Neurospora crassa OR74A: one gene and its partner. The protein of the gene in region 1 binds, or shares a complex with, the protein of each later gene. Links are inferred from orthologs where the notes say so. Each region holds a gene or a part of one and is shown on either strand. Other genes may lie near its edges.

Region 1 (3,535 bases):
TGCCGTGCCCTCGAGCCGCCCTCGAGCCGCCCTTGAGCCGCCTTCGCCGCCGCCGCCGTCAGTCTTGGTCGTGGTCTTGGTCGGTGTCTTGGTCTTGCTTGGGTGGTGTGTTGTGGTACAAAGATACGAAAAGAGTGCCTAGGTTATCTTCAGTCCGCCGAGGGCGCTCTAGCGGTGAACGAACGATACCTACCTATCTAGAGGTTACTTATCGCGGAAAACTTCCGTATACGAGACGACCCTTGAAACTTTTGGTATAGAATGCTTTGTAGACATGAAGTAACTGGACTGAATTGAGCTGCACTGGTTACACCAAGGTCTCACCACCAAATCCCACAAAGTCAGTGATTTGACCCATAAGGAAACAACCGGGAATTCTCCAAAAAAAAAAATGTCTTGGTGGGAAGAGGTCGGGGTCGGCAGGATCGGAAGGTAATCGATATGCGAAATCCCGTTTTTGAGAGACATGGCGTTGGGTGTGGGCATTACCCGGGATATTTTTCGGGTGTCTTGTCTCTGATCTGTTGAGGAGTATACTCGGTCCCGGGGGTTGGTCAAACTGATCAGGTCTAGTCCCGTCGGTGAGACCGAGACCATAGTTCAGACAACTTTATGTGTGTGTGATGAATTATTAACTAGAATTTGTTTGGAGAGAGAGAGATGTAGCATACCAAGCAGAGACACATGTCTTCCCGCCCTCTTCTTCTCTCTCTCTCTCTCTTTCTCGCGAAAATACCGTTTCAAATACGCCTGCTAATCACACAGCAATAGCCGATTTCGCTTCGCTTTGTCTTTGCCAACTAACCATTTCCTCTCCTTCCACCACCACAGTAGCCCTTGCATGCCTGCTTACGCTTTCCTCATACTCCCAATAATCTCCATCTGCGCATCGCGATCCCTCTGTCCCTCGCTGAGGGAGCCGACACTCCTCAGATCGCCCACGACGTCCTTGGCCTTGCCAAAGTAGACCTCCTGCAGCAGGTTGCGCATCTTGAGCTCCATGTCCTCGACCAGGCGGCCAATATTGGCAATGTGGCTCTCGTCGTTCTCGACAGGCAGGTCCTGCTCGACCTGGCGCGTCATGTTGCCCGAGAGATCAACCTCGCCGAGAGCGTTGCCCTTGGTGGCCAGCGAGAGGATGACGGTCGAGGTAAGGCGGTAGTTGGAGGTGCGGCCGCGCTCCGAGGCTTCGAAGACGTGGATGGAGTCCCACACGCCCGAGGAGGAGGGATTGGTTGGGGAGGCTGTTGACATAAGTGTAGGTTAGCAGACTTGTTCTTGTATGTAGTGTCGATAGGCTCCGGCAAGCGCAAGAGTCTCACGCGCATCGGTCCATCCCGTGCAGTCCAACCCAAAACAAATGACGACGACAGAGGAATAACTCACACTTCTTCAACAACACCACCCCCGCAAACCCATCGTCCAAATTCCAGAAATACACCGAACTCACACCCCCCTCATAATACAGCTCCCTGTACACGTCAAACGCCTCGTTGGCCTTGATCTCCATCTTCCTCACCCTCTCGCCAGGCATGATCGATCCCGCCGCACCGCCTTCTCCTCCATCTCCCTCGCCATCTCCACCGCTACCGCCCTGGTTGCCGCCCTCGAGCGGAGGGTCGAACTGGTTGCTCCATGGCGAGCGGTAGCTGTCGCCGTCGCGGTTGTAGTCGCATAGCAGGTAGTCGCGGCCGGTTTGCTTGCAGCGCTTGACGGTCAGGGGCTGGTCGACGGAGGAGAGCAGGTCTTCGGTCAGGTCGGGGGCGAGGGTGATGAGGTTGTTGAGGTGCTCGGCCGTGTGTTTGGGGTTGAGGCGGCGGAGGAGGTCGCTGTTTGGGTAAGGGGTGTCAGCTTATATGACCTGGTTCGTCTCTGGTTGTTTGCGCTGTGCCGCGCTTCGTGATGGCGATGATGATGTTGTTGTTGTTGGTGGTGGTGGTAGTGGTGATGCCCGTGATGTAGTTGGCGGTCGGTGTAGATCTGGCTGGGGCGCAAGGAGGGGTGGTGGGTAGGCGGACTCTGCGACTTGGTAGACTTACAGGGCGGAATCAAAGGGGTCTGCGGTCGCCATCTTGACGGATATTCCTCTAAGGGTGGGAAGGAGTGTGATACTCTTGTTTGTTTGTTTTTGTTTACTCGGTGAAGGTCGAAATGGCGGCGCGGCGACGGATGGGTAGACGGACAGGCCAGGGCAATGGAGACAGGTGCTAATGTTAGGTAGGTGGTTCCTAGCTGTTGAGTCGGCGGGGATGTTCCAGGGTCGGGTTCCTCTTGCTATGAAACCTCCACTGCACTGGTGGGGTTCCCGTTGTTGCTGTTTCAGGGGGCTCACGCACGGCCAATGGCACTGTTTGTTTCCATCTGGTGATGTTTCTGTACGAGATAATCTTTGCCAAGAAGCATCAACTTTGACGATGAGAGGCATAATCCGCACAATAACTCTTAGATTAACTGTTTTGAAGTCCGGATGAATCATAGAAGACTATTGTAAAGGTCTTGAAGTACGCCTAATTTGAATTAATCAAGTATTGATATATGCATTCCATCACTTTCCTCAGGCTATACTACGCCTATGTTCACATTTCCTGTACACAGTCAACAGTCAGCCAGCTCATCTTTACCTGGCCGACGACCCCTTGCAAACTGTCAACAACAACAACAACAGCCTTATTCCGAATCTCTTCATCTCATCGTCACCTTACCAACATGAGGTGAAGCATCGTACCAGACACCATGAAGCTAATGTCTGTATTGGGTATGTCTTCTTTCCTTTTTCGCACACACTCTCACACTCGCATGCGCACTGCGACTTACCGTCCAGCCAGATTGGGGGCTCTACCTCCTCATCCCAACCCTCGTCCTCCTTCACCTCTTCATCGCCCCATACACCAAGGTTGAGGAGTCTTTCAACATCCAAGCCACCCACGATGTCCTTGTGTACGGCACGCCACTTCAGAATGCCTATCACCGACTATCTCAAACATATGACCATTTCACCTTTCCTGGTGCTGTACCCCGAACCTTTGTTGGCCCTGTGGTCTTGGCCGGTCTCGGACAGCCCATCGTCAACCTTGTCGGCTTCGACCATGCCCAAACCATTGTGAGGGGTATGCTAGGCCTCGCCAATGCGGCCGCTATTCTTTTGTTTGCGCGGAATTTTAGACGTGCCTATGGACGCTCGGCAGCCAGGTGGTATTTACTTTTGCAGGCCAGTCAGTTCCATGTCATTTTCTACGCGTCGAGGACGTTGCCGAATATGTTTGCTTTCGGACTGAGTAAGTGAATTGCCTCATCCTCATCCTCATGGATAATGGGAATCTAACACGATCAGCAACTACCGCCGCCGCTCTCCTCCTCCCGAACCCGCAATCTCCGGAGCTCATCCACCGTCGCCACCGCTCTGCCATCTCGCTACTTGTCATGGCTGGCGTCATCTTCCGCTCCGAAGTAGCGCTTCTCCTCTTCACCACCATCTTCCACCTCCTCTTTGTCGTCCCCTCCACCTCTCTGGAGCGCATAATCCCGCACTTTATCG
Region 2 (3,175 bases), on another chromosome or scaffold:
ACTGCCCTGGCTCCTGGGTACTGAGACGGAGATAGAGGTAGCTTGACAAGCCTAAAATCGAAACAACGCAGCCTTCTGAGGTAGCTAGACCGAATCAGAAACAGGCAAAATACGCAGAGGCGTGTGATTGGCGCAAACGGGTGCGCTCAACAAGAAGACTCCGAGTCAAAATTGTGGCCACTGCGTCAACCCCGACCGGGAACATCCCACGGCACCCACGGGTTTGCGACTCGGTTCCATCGCCCTGTTGCGTCGCGAGCACCTCCCACCTTTTTCAGGTTGTTGTTTTTCCAGCTCCCGGAGCACTCATTCATATGTGTGGCAAGTGTGTAGCACTCGAGACACCCGTCCCCTTCTTCGTTATCTAGTGCTGGGTGAGGGGAAATCACCAAGACAAGTTTCCGTTCTTAGAGCAATGTTGCGGGACCCATTCAACCAATTCCCCACAGCTGTAACATCGGGCAGCGATCACGGACACACCCGAACAGCCGCTGACACGGCAAACATGAGTGAGCTGTGCTCTTCCTTCTTTGGTTCTTCTGTACTGACTTGAATTTGGTTTGGCCACTGCCAGCAGTGCTCGCCCTCTCTCCTTCGTACTACCTAGGCTTATATTACTCAGGTCCATCCGTCCATACACCCATTACCGCCTAGAGCTTCCACCACCGATATCCTGTCCCAGGCGATAGCTGGCGACCTTGTCCCACTCGATTTTCTGTCTCGTCACCGGCAGCTGTCTTCTCAAGCCCTTGAAAGCGCCCTCGCTGAGGCTTGTGAAGCTCTTGTTCAATTCCTCCTGGTACTTCTTCTCGTTCACCGAGATCTCCTTGGCAATGCCGCTGCCGGTGCCCGACGACACGGTCGCGGTGACTGTCTTGTTAGTCAACAAACGCACGTTTCCGTCCTCATAGTAGTGCACGTCGACCTTGATGGAGCCCTCAATGGAGTTGTTGGATGGGTCGTAGATGTATAGCGAGCGCCAACGTCCGTTCCTGTTACCTCGTGTTAACGCAAAAGGCGGGTAATATGCGACAAGGCGATCGACTCCGTTCTAAAGCGACATACCAGAAGTTGTTCGGGCTGTACTTGTTCGCGACAATGACAACCGCGACTTTGGTGTCATTCTCTATCGGGTACGCGCCATAGGCGGCGTTAGGAAAGTGCTCCTTGACGTAGGCTGAAAGCCCCTTGACCGTGGATTTTCTGCAATTGGTATCAGCCCTGCCCTTCGCTCCTCAAATGTTGCAGGGGTTCTTGTTTTCCTTACACCAGGTCGGTCTGTTCGCCTTCTAGGACGTGACTCTGAACATCGCTGGCTTTCTGCAGTCGCTTGGGTTATTGACTTGTTCCACGTGTCGCTGTTTTCCATTGGCTGCTCAGTGGGCTGGCTAACCTGAGTAATGTGGTCGTAGGCGAAGCTCGAGGAGCTCTCGACGTCGTAGTAACGACCATCCTCCAGAGAACTATGGGAGCTAATGATAACAGGTTGGCTACCACCGGGGAGCTTCACCGTCGTGAACTGTTCCTCGTTGTACTTTTGGAACGCAGGTCCAAGCTCGTTCAGCAGATTAGGGGTCGAGCTAGTAAGGGCCTTGATGTCTGAAAGCTCGGAATCGTTAGAAAGTAGGGTCGCGATCCAAGTTCGAAGGGGAATATCGTGCCTGCAACAACATCGGCGAGCTGTACGTCAACATGTCAGCATACGCAATTCGGCTCGTTGGTGTCGGTGTAGGATGCGCACCTCGCCAGGGGGAGCTCCCTCAACGAAGGAGGACACAATCTCCTTGTGCGACGCCATGGTTCCGTGCTCTAATGGTAATTAAAAAAAAATAGACAGGATTAAAAAGGTTTCTCGGCGTTGTTTACTTGTGGGTTGGTTGATTCGTTGTATATTAGTTGGTGAAGCTGGTATCGATCAACGGTACCACGCTGCTAGAGATGATGGAGCTGCGCCTTGGGCATGTCCGCCGCCGTCAGTGGGACGGGAGCATGGAATGGCACCAAACCACTGCGGGGCCGCCTGAAGTGGGATGTGGATACTGTGAGGCCGACAGCTGTCAAGGGGCTTCACAGCTGGCGAGCTGCATTATCGTTGCAAGTAATATCCTGAATCCGGCTTACTGCTTAAGTTTGCGACGTCTGTAAACAAAGAACACTGCTACGATGAAAAACAATTGAGTTACAAGATCACGAGTTCGGAAAATGGCAAAGCCCTGGCATACATGGCAGGGTTTGGGGTTGTTGAGGGCAGTCGGTTGAGTTGCCTTTAGCAGGCATGGTTATAAGATCAAGTATTTGTCGGGATTTACAAGACGGCACCCGCCTGAACCGAACTCGCCTATTATAAACGCCCCGCTACGACTTGTCCATTTTCTTCCTTTTTTCCCGCTCATCATCAAAAGTTCAACACCTTCTTGATGTTGGCATATATCCCTAATGTCATGTCAGCTTATTTCGCTCTTACCAAACTCGTACAAGGATGCAGTTACTCACTCGCAACATCCGGAATGTTAAGTGCCTCGAACATGAGAGGCGTGTGAATGCTCCATCCAGCAACTCGAGCCACGGGAGCTTCGAGTCTAACAAAGGTTTCCGAGTCCTCTTGGATGGCAGCGGCCACCTCGGCACCAATGCCGGCATTGACCATAGATTCATGAACCACGATGCAGCGCCCCGTCTTCCTGACACTCTGGAACACGGTCTCCTTGTCCCATGGATAGACCGTTCGGAGGTCAATCAATTCCACTGAGACACCAAAGTCCTTCTCGGCCTTTTGCAACGCATCCATGCATTTGTATAGGGGTTGACCGTATGAGATGATGGTCACATCCTTTCCTTCCTTCAGCACTTCAGCCTTGGATAATGGCAGCGTATAGGACCCGGTGGGCACCTGCTCAACGGCAGCACGGTAGAGGATCTTGGGTTCCATGAAGACACATGGGTCATTGCTGCGAATGGCGGATAACAGCAAGCCCTTGGCCTGGATGGGTGATCTGGGCATGATCACTCGCAATCCTGGAATATGTGTGAACAAGCTCTCCGGCGACTGTGTGTGGTAGAGACCACCATGACCAACACCTCCGCAGGGCATGCGTACCGTTAACCCCCCGGCACTCCGCCCGCAAGAACCATCCCTGTATCTGAACTTGGCAGCCTCGTTCACCAGCTGGTCGAA

What was found. Proteins that work in one complex are often made in the same cells at the same time.
Region 2: NCU07471 (region 1) and NCU03911 share a complex: the UniProt entries of both Saccharomyces cerevisiae proteins name them as parts of the F-actin capping complex. The link is inferred for Neurospora crassa OR74A from reciprocal best matches to the Saccharomyces cerevisiae genes CAP2 and CAP1.

Annotation. Positions count from the first base shown.
Region 1 is NC_026501.1:520,705-524,239, reverse strand, and holds NCU07471 (F-actin-capping protein subunit beta), read right to left. Parts: upstream 2,309-3,535; 5' UTR 2,072-2,308; coding exon 2,040-2,071; intron 1,830-2,039; coding exon 1,387-1,829; intron 1,245-1,386; coding exon 850-1,244; 3' UTR 502-849; downstream 1-501. Other genes in the region: NCU07472 (alpha-1,6-mannosyltransferase subunit), read left to right, coding at 2,734-2,755, 2,826-3,275, 3,332-3,535. UniProt on the Saccharomyces cerevisiae protein: F-actin-capping proteins bind in a Ca(2+)-independent manner to the fast growing ends of actin filaments (barbed end) thereby blocking the exchange of subunits at these ends.
Region 2 is NC_026506.1:2,119,632-2,122,806, forward strand, and holds NCU03911 (F-actin-capping protein subunit alpha), read right to left. Parts: upstream 1,915-3,175; 5' UTR 1,799-1,914; coding exon 1,742-1,798; intron 1,681-1,741; coding exon 1,662-1,680; intron 1,600-1,661; coding exon 1,394-1,599; intron 1,321-1,393; coding exon 1,268-1,320; intron 1,204-1,267; coding exon 1,066-1,203; intron 993-1,065; coding exon 644-992; 3' UTR 503-643; downstream 1-502. Other genes in the region: NCU03913 (2-oxoisovalerate dehydrogenase beta subunit), read right to left, coding at 2,396-2,433, 2,494-3,175. UniProt on the Saccharomyces cerevisiae protein: F-actin-capping proteins bind in a Ca(2+)-independent manner to the fast growing ends of actin filaments (barbed end) thereby blocking the exchange of subunits at these ends.